Linked DNA regions of Xenopus tropicalis. The protein of the gene in region 2 purifies or fractionates together with the protein of the main gene of each other region. This does not show direct contact. Links are inferred from orthologs where the notes say so. Each region holds a gene or a part of one and is shown on either strand. Other genes may lie near its edges.

Evidence for each region. Proteins that work in one complex are often made in the same cells at the same time.
Region 1: the proteins of derl1 (region 2) and rnf5 purify together in Homo sapiens (affinity purification with western blotting; 4 studies listed by BioGRID and IntAct, with this or other methods). This does not show direct contact. The link is inferred for Xenopus tropicalis from reciprocal best matches to the Homo sapiens genes DERL1 and RNF5.
Region 3: the proteins of derl1 (region 2) and amfr purify together in Homo sapiens (affinity purification with western blotting; 4 studies listed by BioGRID, with this or other methods). This does not show direct contact. The link is inferred for Xenopus tropicalis from reciprocal best matches to the Homo sapiens genes DERL1 and AMFR.

What each region holds. Positions count from the first base shown.
Region 1 is NC_030684.2:73,547,166-73,551,473, forward strand, and holds the start of rnf5 (E3 ubiquitin-protein ligase RNF5), read right to left. Parts: upstream 2,851-4,308; 5' UTR 2,838-2,850; coding exon 2,737-2,837; intron 1,116-2,736; coding exon 1,097-1,115; intron 1-1,096. Other genes in the region: agpat1 (1-acyl-sn-glycerol-3-phosphate acyltransferase alpha), read left to right, coding at 3,078-3,180. UniProt on the Homo sapiens protein: Membrane-bound E3 ubiquitin-protein ligase that mediates ubiquitination of target proteins. May function together with E2 ubiquitin-conjugating enzymes UBE2D1/UBCH5A and UBE2D2/UBC4.
Region 2 is NC_030682.2:139,688,787-139,692,349, forward strand, and holds part of derl1 (derlin-1), read right to left. Parts: intron 2,231-3,563; coding exon 2,204-2,230; intron 1,514-2,203; coding exon 1,418-1,513; intron 1-1,417. UniProt on the Homo sapiens protein: Functional component of endoplasmic reticulum-associated degradation (ERAD) for misfolded lumenal proteins. Forms homotetramers which encircle a large channel traversing the endoplasmic reticulum (ER) membrane.
Region 3 is NC_030680.2:51,715,404-51,719,647, forward strand, and holds the start of amfr (E3 ubiquitin-protein ligase AMFR), read right to left. Parts: upstream 2,851-4,244; 5' UTR 2,760-2,850; coding exon 2,529-2,759; intron 1-2,528. UniProt on the Homo sapiens protein: E3 ubiquitin-protein ligase that mediates the polyubiquitination of lysine and cysteine residues on target proteins, such as CD3D, CYP3A4, CFTR, INSIG1, SOAT2/ACAT2 and APOB for proteasomal degradation.

The DNA.
Region 1 (4,308 bases), on a different chromosome or scaffold from region 2:
CCATGGAGGTAGCCATTCAAAGGAGAAAAGGCACAGGCACATAGCAGATAACAGATAAAACACTATTGTATTCCACAGAGCTTATCTGTTATCTGCTATGTAACCTGTGCCTTTTCTCCAGCTTGAATGGCTGCCCCCCATGGCTACACAGCAGCTTATTATATAAATTATAGTAGTGTTACTGTAGCAAACACACCAGTTTTACCAGTGCAGGGCAACAGTGCATTATATTTTTATTACTTTAAAGCTCTTTCATTTTTTGGTGTTACTGTTCCTTTAACCTTCAAAGCCCTCCATTCCTCTGCTCCTCACTACATCTCTTCCCTTGTGTCTCTGTATGTTCCTGGCCGACTCCTTCGTTCCTCACAGAGCGATCGTTTGGTTGCGCCCCCCACTACTACTGCTGTTTCCCGCCTTAAACTTTTCTGCCTTGCTGCCCCTTACATTTGGAATGCCCTCCCTGATTTCCTCCGAAGAGAATCCTCCCCCAGTCTTTTTAAAATTAAACTTAAAGACTACCTTTTGGAGCACTCACCCAGCACCTGATCTGGGAATCAGCACTTATATTGTAGTGTCACCCACTGTGACCTACAGCACTTATAGTGCATTTGCCTATTTGTGTCTGTAAGTTACCCTCCCATATAGATTGTAAGCTCTACGGGGACCTCCATCTTCTTGTGTCTTTGACTCTTAACTTATTGCAACTGTATTTATCTTGTATCTATCTGTATTTATTGTTGTACTTTGTATTTATCTATTATTTAATAATCCCCTGTTTGTATTAATGTATTGTACTGTACAGCGCTGCATACATAAGTAGCGCTTTATAAATTAAGATATACATACATACATACATACTTTTCACTATATGAACAGGTTGCAGTCAATATGCAAACGGTTTGAACTACTACAAACAAATAAAATACCCTTCATGTATACTACAGTAGTTTATCTATGTTATGCTTTTATTACAAATAAATATTTCTGTAACACTGAACATGTGATCTGAATGAAACCGTTAGCACTGCTAGCTGCTGCTGCTACAAAGCTAAAGAAGAATTTAACTCATTCTACTTTTTTATTAATAAATACATACCTGATGCAGACAAGGCCAGCTGTAAAACACAAACATAACATCAGAATACAGAACACAATGCAGTTTTAACGATCAGCGTTGTTATATAAACACACATACAGAAACTACAAGCAGTGGCATTTTACAAGCGTCTCTTCCATACAATACATATAAACAAAATCTGTTTACACTAACAAATCAGTGTTTATACTTTGGACACATTATCTGTTTAGCCTTGCGGTCGTTTGTGAAAAAATATTCATTTTAAACATATGAATCTGAACATACTTTGCGTTTTCTGGCTTAAGCCAAGTGAGTTTTAATGATATAATGAAATATGTAAAGCAAAATGCACTTTCTTTGGCTAAGACAAAAAACAATATTGTACCAGCTGTGCTTACAGGTTCTATTGGAATATTTGTGCTTAAAATGGCTGTGCTTGCAGATATAGCCTAGTTTATAATTCAATTGTAGAATTATGAAGACATTGATTTTCTAGAACAAGCATCAAAGGATCCTCTAATTGTCACCTTTAATTTCAAGCATCTACAGGGCACAGGCACATATGTACCAGCAATGTAGAATCTGCAGTTCCAGGGTTTCAGTTTAATCCAACAACACAAATCATGGCGTGGATCAAAGGGGCTCAATAAGTGAAAGGATTAATATATTCACTGTAAGATTGGGTTAAACATAGAAGATTGCAGGGTACAGTGAAAATACATCAAGAGAACCTGTTAAAATTTGCTTATAACAAGATTACAAAATGTCAAAGGGGAACTGATGCAAAAATAAAAATCAGCTTTATCTTAAGAAAATATGATTGGTCAAAAAATATATTTTGTACTATTTCTTTAATATTTAAGTTACTCTTCAGTCTGTTTTTTTTGTTCATGGAGTAGTCAGTGAGGACTAATTCATCATTGGGGATGCATTCCAATTGCCTAAAGGAAATCACTCTTTCAAAATAACCAACTCGCACACAATCTTGATCCTCTACATGAATTATTTGTGCTTAAGTCTGCTTTTATGAAAGAATTAACTCAAATACATCTTCTATGGCAGGCAATGGGAGCCCCACCCAATAGCTGTATTAAACATGATTGTCAATCATAATCAGACTCCTGCTTCAAGAAAAAAAAAAAAACAGAAAACATTGAAACAATGTAACAGTAAGGTCTCCATTTTTATTTTATTTTATTTTATTTTTTTAAATCATTGCAGACAATTTTCCTTTTTTCATTGCAAAAAAATAGTTTTTGTATGGAGGCAAATTTTAATACGTTTAGAAGGTTTGTTTTTCATGACATGCAACTTATATTGCATTTTAGTTACCCTTTAACATGCTGTAGCTACAGGTCACATGATATGGTTCTAAGAGCATTCAACACATTCCAACTAGTACTCTGGGCCTCATTCTTTCCCCTCATCCAATGCTTTGAGTCCTTTATAGGGGAACAGTTTCAGTTGGGGTGAAGCTTTCCTGAATATTTCGGTCTTGTACTTTACTGATAGCTTTCTGACCGTAGCCGAACCCCCTAACAATGCATTCCTACAGCAAACTAAATACATACCCACTGAAGGACACAGTCTCAGCAAAGCAGAATTAACAAGCTTAGCAGAGACCTGCCTACAGGGCAGACACATCACATTCCACTCACCAGTACAAATGCCCACACACGCTGACAACAGGTTCCCGCGCTGTCTCCAAGCAGATATTACACTCATAAGCCGCACCGGGGCTGCCAGCAGCCGCCGCCATGGCAACCGATCAACCGGAACCTAGCTGTGCAACTAGCGGAGCGTCACGGGAAAGGTTAAAGAGTGTATTGGACGCAAAGATAAACAAATCTTGTGTGTGATAGGGTGGACAAGTTCTCCATCACAATTATGCACCCCTATTGGCTATGCACTTTCTAGTTAGCTGTCAAGCAGTCAAAATGCTGATTGGTGATACTAGGATAATACGTGACATCGATTGGTTGTAACTCCCGTCACTCAAATGCTGACGACACCTCTTGTCTCGGATAACCGTTATGACGCGGCGTCTTGCGTTCGTGCGGGAGTGGAATACACGTTCCGGGCCCACAGGGTTTTTTTTTGTTGTAGGTTAAAAACTTTATTCCTTGTTAAAAGAAGGCAATAATGAACAATCCTTATTTGTAATCGGAGGTGAAGACTGTTATGGTAAAATTATTCGAGTAGAGTTACCAGCAGTGATACGTATTTTATAAACTACCGGATAACAATATATTTTATTGAAACTTGTGCAATATTATGCGATAGTTTCATAAGTGATGTGTTTAGAGGCCTGTCACCGGCAAAATCTGCAAGCAAACTTTGTATCTGTGCTATTAACGCTTAAGTACACACACATACTTCCACCCAGCCCTATATTATATTTATAGCTTTTACTTTGTAAACGGAAGATTCTGTTGGTTATATTTAGCATCGTTCAGACTGTAGGTCGGAAAACAAAATCGATGACTGGTTTTTTTTGGTGGGGGGAGGTGGTTTTCTATGTTTTTTCCTTTAGTGAATTTTCTTCCTACTAAAGGCAGTACTGATTCAAATTTATATATTATTATTTATTCTAAACCAGTTCTTGAAGCAACACCAAGCCTGACTTCCAGGCTAAATCTTAGTTCCCTGAGAACAAGTTTGATAAACCCTGATTAAGATATTTTAAATGTAAGTAATAGTAGTAAGAATGCAGGACAAAATGCCATATATTTAGTTCCTATAATTTTGTAGATGACAGTTTTTTGTTTTAATAACTATAGATACAATAAATGCATGTGTTTTCCTTTAGTAAGGTTACTGTATTACTGTAATAAATACATTTTTTGTTACTTAGAATCTGAAGATAAGTGGTTCCTGTATAATGAAACCATACAGAAACAACTCTTAAGGTGGCCATACACGGGCCGGTTGTAGCTGCCGATATCGGTCCCTTAGACCAATTCGGCAGCTTATCGGCCCGTGTAGGGGCAGGAACAACGGGCGACCTCACCAAGCGAGCGGATCTTAACATGTATGGTCACCTTTAGGGTAGTGGCACTTAGAGTCAGGCCAGGACTGGCAATCTGTGGATTCTGGCAAATGGCAGAAGAGCTGCTGCAAGGTGACAGACCATCGTTATCTATTGGGCTTTCTGGGAGCAGTTTGGGCGTCTCTGTAGTTTAAATTCCCATACATATTTTGAATTCCAGTCTGGACCTTATAGGAGTGCC
Region 2 (3,563 bases):
AAAGCATTTCAACAAAATGCAAGATGCTGATGGGGGGGCTGTGTGGGCCTGTGTGTACTTGGAATGTCAGGGCCTGTTTTGGCCCTTGGATTTATACCCCAGGGCCTTGGTGTTCTACCCTGTTTCCTTGCTGTTCTTCTCCAGTCCCTTGTTATTCTACCATGGTGCCAGGCCCAGACTGGCAATCTGTAGATTCAGGCAAACACCAGAGGGGCTGCTGTAAGATGCCATAGACAGTCACTATTTATTGGGCTGGGGGGGCTGTTTGGGCCTCTGTGTACTTGGAATGCCAGGACCCAGGCCCAGACTGGCAATCTGTGGGTTCAGGCAAATGCCAGAGGGGCTGCTGTAAGATGCCATAGACACTCGCTATTTATTGGGCTGGGGGGGCTGTTTGGGCCTCTGTGTACTTGGAATGCCAGGACCCAGGCCCAGACTGGCAATCTGTGGGTTCAGGCAAATGCCAGAGGGGCTGCTGTAAGATGCCATAGACACTCGCTATTTATTGGGCTGGGGGGGCTGTTTGGGCCTCTGTGTACTTGGAATGCTGGGGCCTATTCTGAATCCCAGTCCAAACCTAGTCTAACAAAATGCAAGTCTACTCCCATGAAAGCATGGACTGTATTGTCCCATCTCAGCCACTAGATGGAGCAGAACAAAATCAGTTTTTGGGTGGAGATGCAGTTTATTTGTCAATATCAGATCCTCCGTAGTTGGAGAGCAGCTTTCAGGACCAATTTATTTGAGCCTGTCTATTCATATTTCAGCTAATGCCACATGGGGCCGATTCCTGGCCTCAGAATAAACACAGTCCTGTGCTGACATCAGCCTTTACCGATGCGCCTGCATCTGAAACCATTGTGTCAGCCTGGGTACAAGAACATGGAGCAGATTTTGGCCCCAAAATGCGCAAGTATGCATAAATCAGGGCAAAAATCTACTCTGTGTGCCTGCACCCAGACCAACGCAACGGCTTCAGATGCAGGCACCAGGAAAGGCTGATATCAGCACAGGGGCTGATTCTCAGGCTGCGTAAAGCTCCCTATAGGTCATGAAGATCATTATTCATGAATAGGTTTGCTTTTGTAAGTAATGGTTACATGAAGTTCCTAAACCTGACTGTTTTGCCAACCTGTCACTTCTCAGCCTGTCAGTTATAGCTTCTAATGCTAACGGCCTACTGCTGCACAAATATGGCCGCCCCCTCATAGAGCAACATGGAGGATCAGATAGGGAATGTAAAAGCATCAGGAATTACTTTCATGGCAAATTTATAAAGCTCATGCAAAGACAATATTATGATATATTTAAAAACAGTTTAATTTGAGGTTTCATTATCTCTTTAAATGAAAAAGGTAATATTAGGATAAAGGCATGCTATATCTGAGTATTTGAGGACAAAAAGGAGGCCGTTTACCTTAAATCTTGTGCCAAACCAGAATGACACAATCATGTCTCTGTTGAGCTGGGCCCAGACATACAGAACCGACATGATCAGGGGGATCATCAGCAGCTGTAACATATAAACAGGACATGTTATATACACATCCACACGTATATTCTCCTTACCCCTATCCATGTACCAAATGATCAAATTAGCCCAATTAGGTGGCCACCTAGAAGATTTGCTCGTTTGGCGACCTTGTGTATGTATATGTGTATGTATATGTGTATGTATATGTGTATGTATATGTGTATGGCCACCTTGAGTCCCAATCACATGCACACACAATGGTCTAATGGCAACCAATCAAGAGTTAGTCTGTCCTGCCTAGGGCAATAAGGGTAATGACAGATGGCATTTGGGCAGTTACTACAAACCCCCTTAAAATATTATTATTACACTGCTATAGATTAGTGAATGCAACAAATGTGCCTGTACTTATGAATACTGGTTCCCTGTGGGAACTCCAAATGGGGAGTGTTGTTGCCTTGCAGTGTTGGGGTTGTGGGTTTGTGGCCTGGGCACTGCAAGGAGTGTGTATGTTCCCCCTATGTCTGAGTGGGTTTCCTCTTGGTACTCTGGTTTCCTTCCACACTCCAAATACATACAGGCAAGATTCCTGTTGCTAGGAAAGCTGCACTGGGCAACGTTTTGCAAAGCAACAAAAATGGGGGGAAACTATGCTTTTCACATTAATACAGTCCTTTTGCCTTCAGTGCAGAAACAGAAGCACTAGCAAATGATTTCTTTCAACCTTACCTGCATGTTCATTATGACTCCAGTTATCTTAGAGTGCCGTTAAAGAAAATAAGACTATCATCTACTGACTGCCTAAATATGACTTCATTTGTACAACGCCCCCTTCTGTATACTGCTGTATGGCGCCCCCTTGCTTATTGCCAGGTCAAGTCACTTCGTACCTTATATCAGTTCCATTACATGTCTATCCCCCCTTATTATATGTAATAAAAGGCACTAAGTTTGCCCAGGAGCAGTAACCCATAGCAACCGATAAGATGTTTACTTTTAAACAGGTGACCAGTTAATTCCACCTGTTGATTAGTTGCTGTGGGTTACTGCTCCTGGGCAAACTTAGTGCCTTTTACTACCTCTGTATAAAGCCGCCCACTGGTATAAGAAACGCCTGTTATTCACTAAGGTGACAGATCAAATGATCACTGATTTGTATGACCTTAGTCTTAGCATGATACACACAAAAGCTAACAGTCACACCCATGATTAGTTGGCATGTGTAACTGCCTTATTTGCCCATTGTTTATAAATAAGCCCCACTGGGGTGTTGTGCCTAGCAGCCCTGAACTAGCCCTGCTAGTTGCTCAAAATTATATTTTCTTTTATTAGGCAACATTTTATTTTTGGGTTTATATCCCCTTTAACGGGAACAACAAAACAGCTTCAACGTGCAAAATTGTACTTAACTCTGCATTAACCTTTTTAAAAATTTTACTCCTGGTGACCACAATGGATAATTCACATTACTGGATGTTTAAGGAGAACTAAAGCCTAACAATCATGGCCAGAAGTATTGTATATTATATACTAAACTTCAGCATCCCAATAACAATAATGATCCAGGCCTTCAGTCTCGTCCTCAGCAGCTCCCATTGTTGGATCTTGTTAGGCCATTGACTGTGTGTCAGTGGCACTGCACATGCTCAGTGGGCTCTGGGCTGATGTTGAGAAGCCAAGTTTAGGGTTGTTGCAAATTATCGGGGAGAGAATAAAGTTTGGCTGCCATAGAAGCTGATGCTACAAGGCTGATTATTAAATTCTGATACAAACTGCCCTGGATTGTGAGCTGTAATGAGAATCTGAACAAATGACTAATAAGCCTTGTAATGTAAGATCTATATTGTAAACCAGTACCTAACCTCAGGTAAGTGCCAGCAGCCCAGAGCATGTACTAGGAATCAGCAGAAAAGAAGATGGGGGGCTACTGGGGCATCTTTAAAAGGTACAGATCTTCCCTGCTAAAGGGCTGTGGTTGCCCAATCATCCACTACAGAATGCTTCATGATTCGCTGACAGATTGTACAGATAACTCGGATGTCCCTTAATGATTTACTGATGGTTCCCTATAGGTCTATAGTATGATCTG
Region 3 (4,244 bases), on a different chromosome or scaffold from region 2:
AAATTATGTTTAGCAGACTTAAGTTATGGAGATTCAGATTACGGAAAGGTCCCTTATCCGGAAAACCCCAGGTCCCGAGCATTTTGGATTACAGGTCCCACACCTGTATTTTAAAGTAATCAAAATATAATGTATTGTGTGCCCTGCACTGGTAAAGTTGATGTGTTTGTTTTAGAAACCTTACTATAGTTTTTATAAACAAGCTGCTATGTAGCTACAGGAACAGCCTTTCAAAGGAGAAAAAGCGCAAGTTGCATAAGAGATAAGCTCTATAGAATATAATGGTGTTCCACTGAGATCTGCTATTTAACCTGTGCCATTTAGCTCTATTCCAATTGCCTCTATTCCTACACAGCAGCTTTATTTATACAAACTATACTAAGGTTTCTAAAGTAAACAGATCAGTTTTGCCAGTGCAGGGCAACAGTACATAATATTTTAATTGCTTTAAAACATTTTTTTTTGGTGTTACTATTCCTTTAAAGATTATACATGAACATAACCCTGCATAACATGTGCAAAGCTTGCTCTGGTGCCGACTCAGCAATCACACAGCAATTACTTTAAGGCTAGTGCCACACGGGCAGATTCTCGGCCTGCAGGTAAACACGGATCAAGAATCCACCACGTGCTTGAAAAATGTAATTGTTTTGGCTGCACCCAGAGACATTGGGGGAGATTTATTAAGACACGAACGCTCTGAGCGTATTTTTGCCGTTTTTTTCCCGCTTGCACAACTTGATTTGGAAAGGTTCTGCCGCTGTTTACAAACGTTCGGTGCAAAAATTTTGTGACTTTCGGATCGCCAATACGATATTATCATGACTAATAAGATTTTTTCGTAAGCATTTTCGTGATATTTGCGATCTTCAGAAATTATCGTATCCAATCCGAACTTTTGGATTTTTTTCGGGATTCGAACTCGTGTTTTAATAAATCGGCCCCATTGTGTCAGCCTGGAATTTGGCGCAAAACTGCTTGCGTATGTCTAGTGTGAAACAAGCCTAAGTCACTGTAATAGAGCTACAGAAATGTCAACTAACCCAAAGTTATTTGGGTGATAAAAAATCAGTTTGGGCATTTCACGGATTTCCCATTAAAGGTGGCCATACACGTAAAGATCCGGTCGCCTGGCAAGGTCGACAAGCGAGCGGATCTTCTCCCGATATCCCCACCTATGGGTAAGCAATCGGGCAAATTTAGGCCCTAGGGCAAAACGATCGAGTTGTAACGACGGCGAAGTCGGTTAGGGGAACGCAACAAGGAGCCAATGCAGCCCCCGATGCGACTAAATTTTTTAACCTGCCCAATCGATATCTGCCCAATTTCAGGTCAGATATCGGTCGGCATGCCTGTCGTTGCTGCCCCTACATGGCCCGATAAGCTGCCGAATCAGTCTAAGGGACTGATATCAGCAGTTACAATTGGCCTGTGTTATGGCCACCTTTAGAGGGGAAAAAAAAAATCCATTATTGTTTAATCAAAAATACATATCAAAAATAATGACAGCAAACATTTTACTGGTTGTAGTTTACGGGCAAATGTAGCCTAGTCTAATACCTAGTAACTTGGGACCCACATCTGTAAAGTACAACAGAAGACTTATTTGGCTGTAAGCTAAATGCCTAGGCATGAAATTTGCAACCGTGCCCCCACCCCCCAGTAATTATGCCAATGGACTTATTTAATCAGAAGATATGCACATGCTTTATGCCACACACATAACACTGCTAAGAGTCTAAAGGTCCCCATACACTATAAGATCCGCTCGCTTGGCAATGTCGCCAAGCGAGCGGATCTTTACCCGATATCCCCACCTACGGGTGGGCGATATCGGGTAGCAAGTTGCTTAAAAAAAAATAATACGATCATTTGGCCCTGGGGCCAAACGATCGGATTACATTTGCGGCCATGGGCAGTCGGTTCGGGGACTGCATCAACGAGCCGATGCGATCCCTGATCCGACTGGATTTTCTAACCTGGCCGATCGATATCTGCCCAATTTCAGGCCAGATATCGGTCGGCCAGGCCGCTCGTTTCTTCCCATACACAGGCCGATTAGCTGCCGAATCGGTCCAAGGGACCAATATCGGCAGCTTCTATCGGCCCGTGTATGAGGGCCTTAAGAGAATTTGACACTCACTTATGGGGGGCAGGAGATTGTTTTGGCTCCAATAAGGACTAATTATATCTTAGTTGGGATCAAGTACATGGTACTGTTTTATTATTACGGGGAAATTGCAGGGTTCTGCTATATGTCCCTGTGGCCTACAAAGCCTCCAGAAGGGAAGTGAAAAATATGGGGTGAAGATTTATTTGCTGCTCTGATGTTGCCTGGAGCTATGGCTGAATTGCTGAGACAGCAAAAATGTCCCTGCGTTACCCTGTACAATGATTCTCCCTTATGCCAGTTTACAACTCTGAAACAGTCATGGTTTAATGCCATGGGTTGACGTGAATTTCAGGAATTGTACTTTAAAATCAGCTAGAGATGTCAGCCGTAACCGTGCCCAGGGTGCCACACTCACCCACACCCCAAGACTGTCAGAGACCAGGTACCGGAACAGCTCAACTAAGTCCACGGGCTCAGGTGGCAGCTGTGCCCCAGCTTCCTCTCCTTCCAGCATGCTCCGTTCTGCCGCCTCCCCGCTCAGGCTCCGATAGGCGCTTAGCAGGCTGAGGCCCAGCAACAGGCCGCTCAGGCCGGTGTAAGTGCGCAGGCTGGGCCAGGGGAATCGCTCCAGGAATAACAGCGGCATCTTGCCTTAGTCCAAAGGGCCTGTCACACCGAAGGGAGGGCCCGCCGCGGGTGGGAGCAGCTCGCACCGCTTGCTGCTGGCCCTATTTGGACGCTGTGGTCTAGTAGGCTTTGCCCGTAGCCATTACAGCCCTACTTAGTGTGTGTTCTATACGTCTGTGCCCCCTGCCGGCCGCCAGACGCATGACTACAAGCCAGGCATATCCAACCCGTGGCTGCCGGAACTGCAACTCCCAGCGCAGAGCTACGTAGCCTGCTGGCAGTGTTGAAGTTTATCTACACACTGACAAGCCCTAGCCTGGTTATCCCTGTTCTAGAATCAGGTTTAGCACAGGGTAAACAAGCCTTTTCAGCAACATAACGAGTACCCTGAAACAGTACCCTGACAGTATGCTTGGCCTTTACTTGTGTTTTAAATGTGTCTAGCCTTTCCCTGAAATTTGTATTTTGTAATGGTTCAGCATTGAGCCCTTTCTTTCCATTAATTGCAAATGTCTGTTTCTTTCAGTCTTGAAATATACAGATAAACATGAACGGATATCAGTGGTAAATGGAACTGGAACAGTAGGAATCAGCAAATTTGCCCAGGTATTGATCTGTTTGGATAGAGATTGGCCATGAACGTTGATATCTGTAAACTGCCTAGCGATGCGGTACACATAATATTGTGTATACTGTTCTCTTTATGCAACACCTTGGCCATAGGAAATACTTCATGCAATCGCGAGGTCGGCAAGGAGGAAAACTTTTTTCCAAACATTAGTTTGCCTGCCTAATATCTAGGCATTATATGTTGAAGAAATTCTGTCAAGATTTTTATAGTATAGTTTTTTTTTAATTAATAAAATAATTAATAAATAATTAATAATATAATTAATTTAATATAAATTACACTGTGTACAGTGCAAATAATTAATTCTACCATTAAACCAATACATTTTTTTGTTGTTGTTGTAATATTGGTGCCTGAGTCTAAACTTTCAGAAGGAGCCAGCGCTACATAACAGGACTGCTTTCAGATAACCTATTGATATGGCTGGACTTGAGTGTTTTAGGGCCTGGGCACAAAAAGCTTTTGGTCCGCTTCTCTCAGCCTGCATTTTTCTTCGCCCCCGTATATCACTCTGTGAACCTGCACTTTAAAGTACAGCTTCCTTCTGAGTGCAGGTGCTTGAAACAAGGCCGGAACTAGGGGTAGGCAGAAGAGGCAGCTGCCTAGGCCGCAACAATTGGGGGGCGCCAGGCAGGAGCCTGTCCTGCCTACCCCTAGTCTGTGCTGTGCTCTGGTTTCATTGACCCCGGCGTTTGTCATTACGCGGCGGGGGTAATGAACTATCGGTTCGCATCTCACACCCCCCCCCGCCGAACTGCGCATGTGCGCCAACACGGGGGGGGGGGGGGTGAGATGCGATAGCGCAGGTGCTTGAAGCGGAGGTCACACTAAAAACTCCTGTTGCAGTGTTTTTCAGGCCAACCTCTGCTCCAT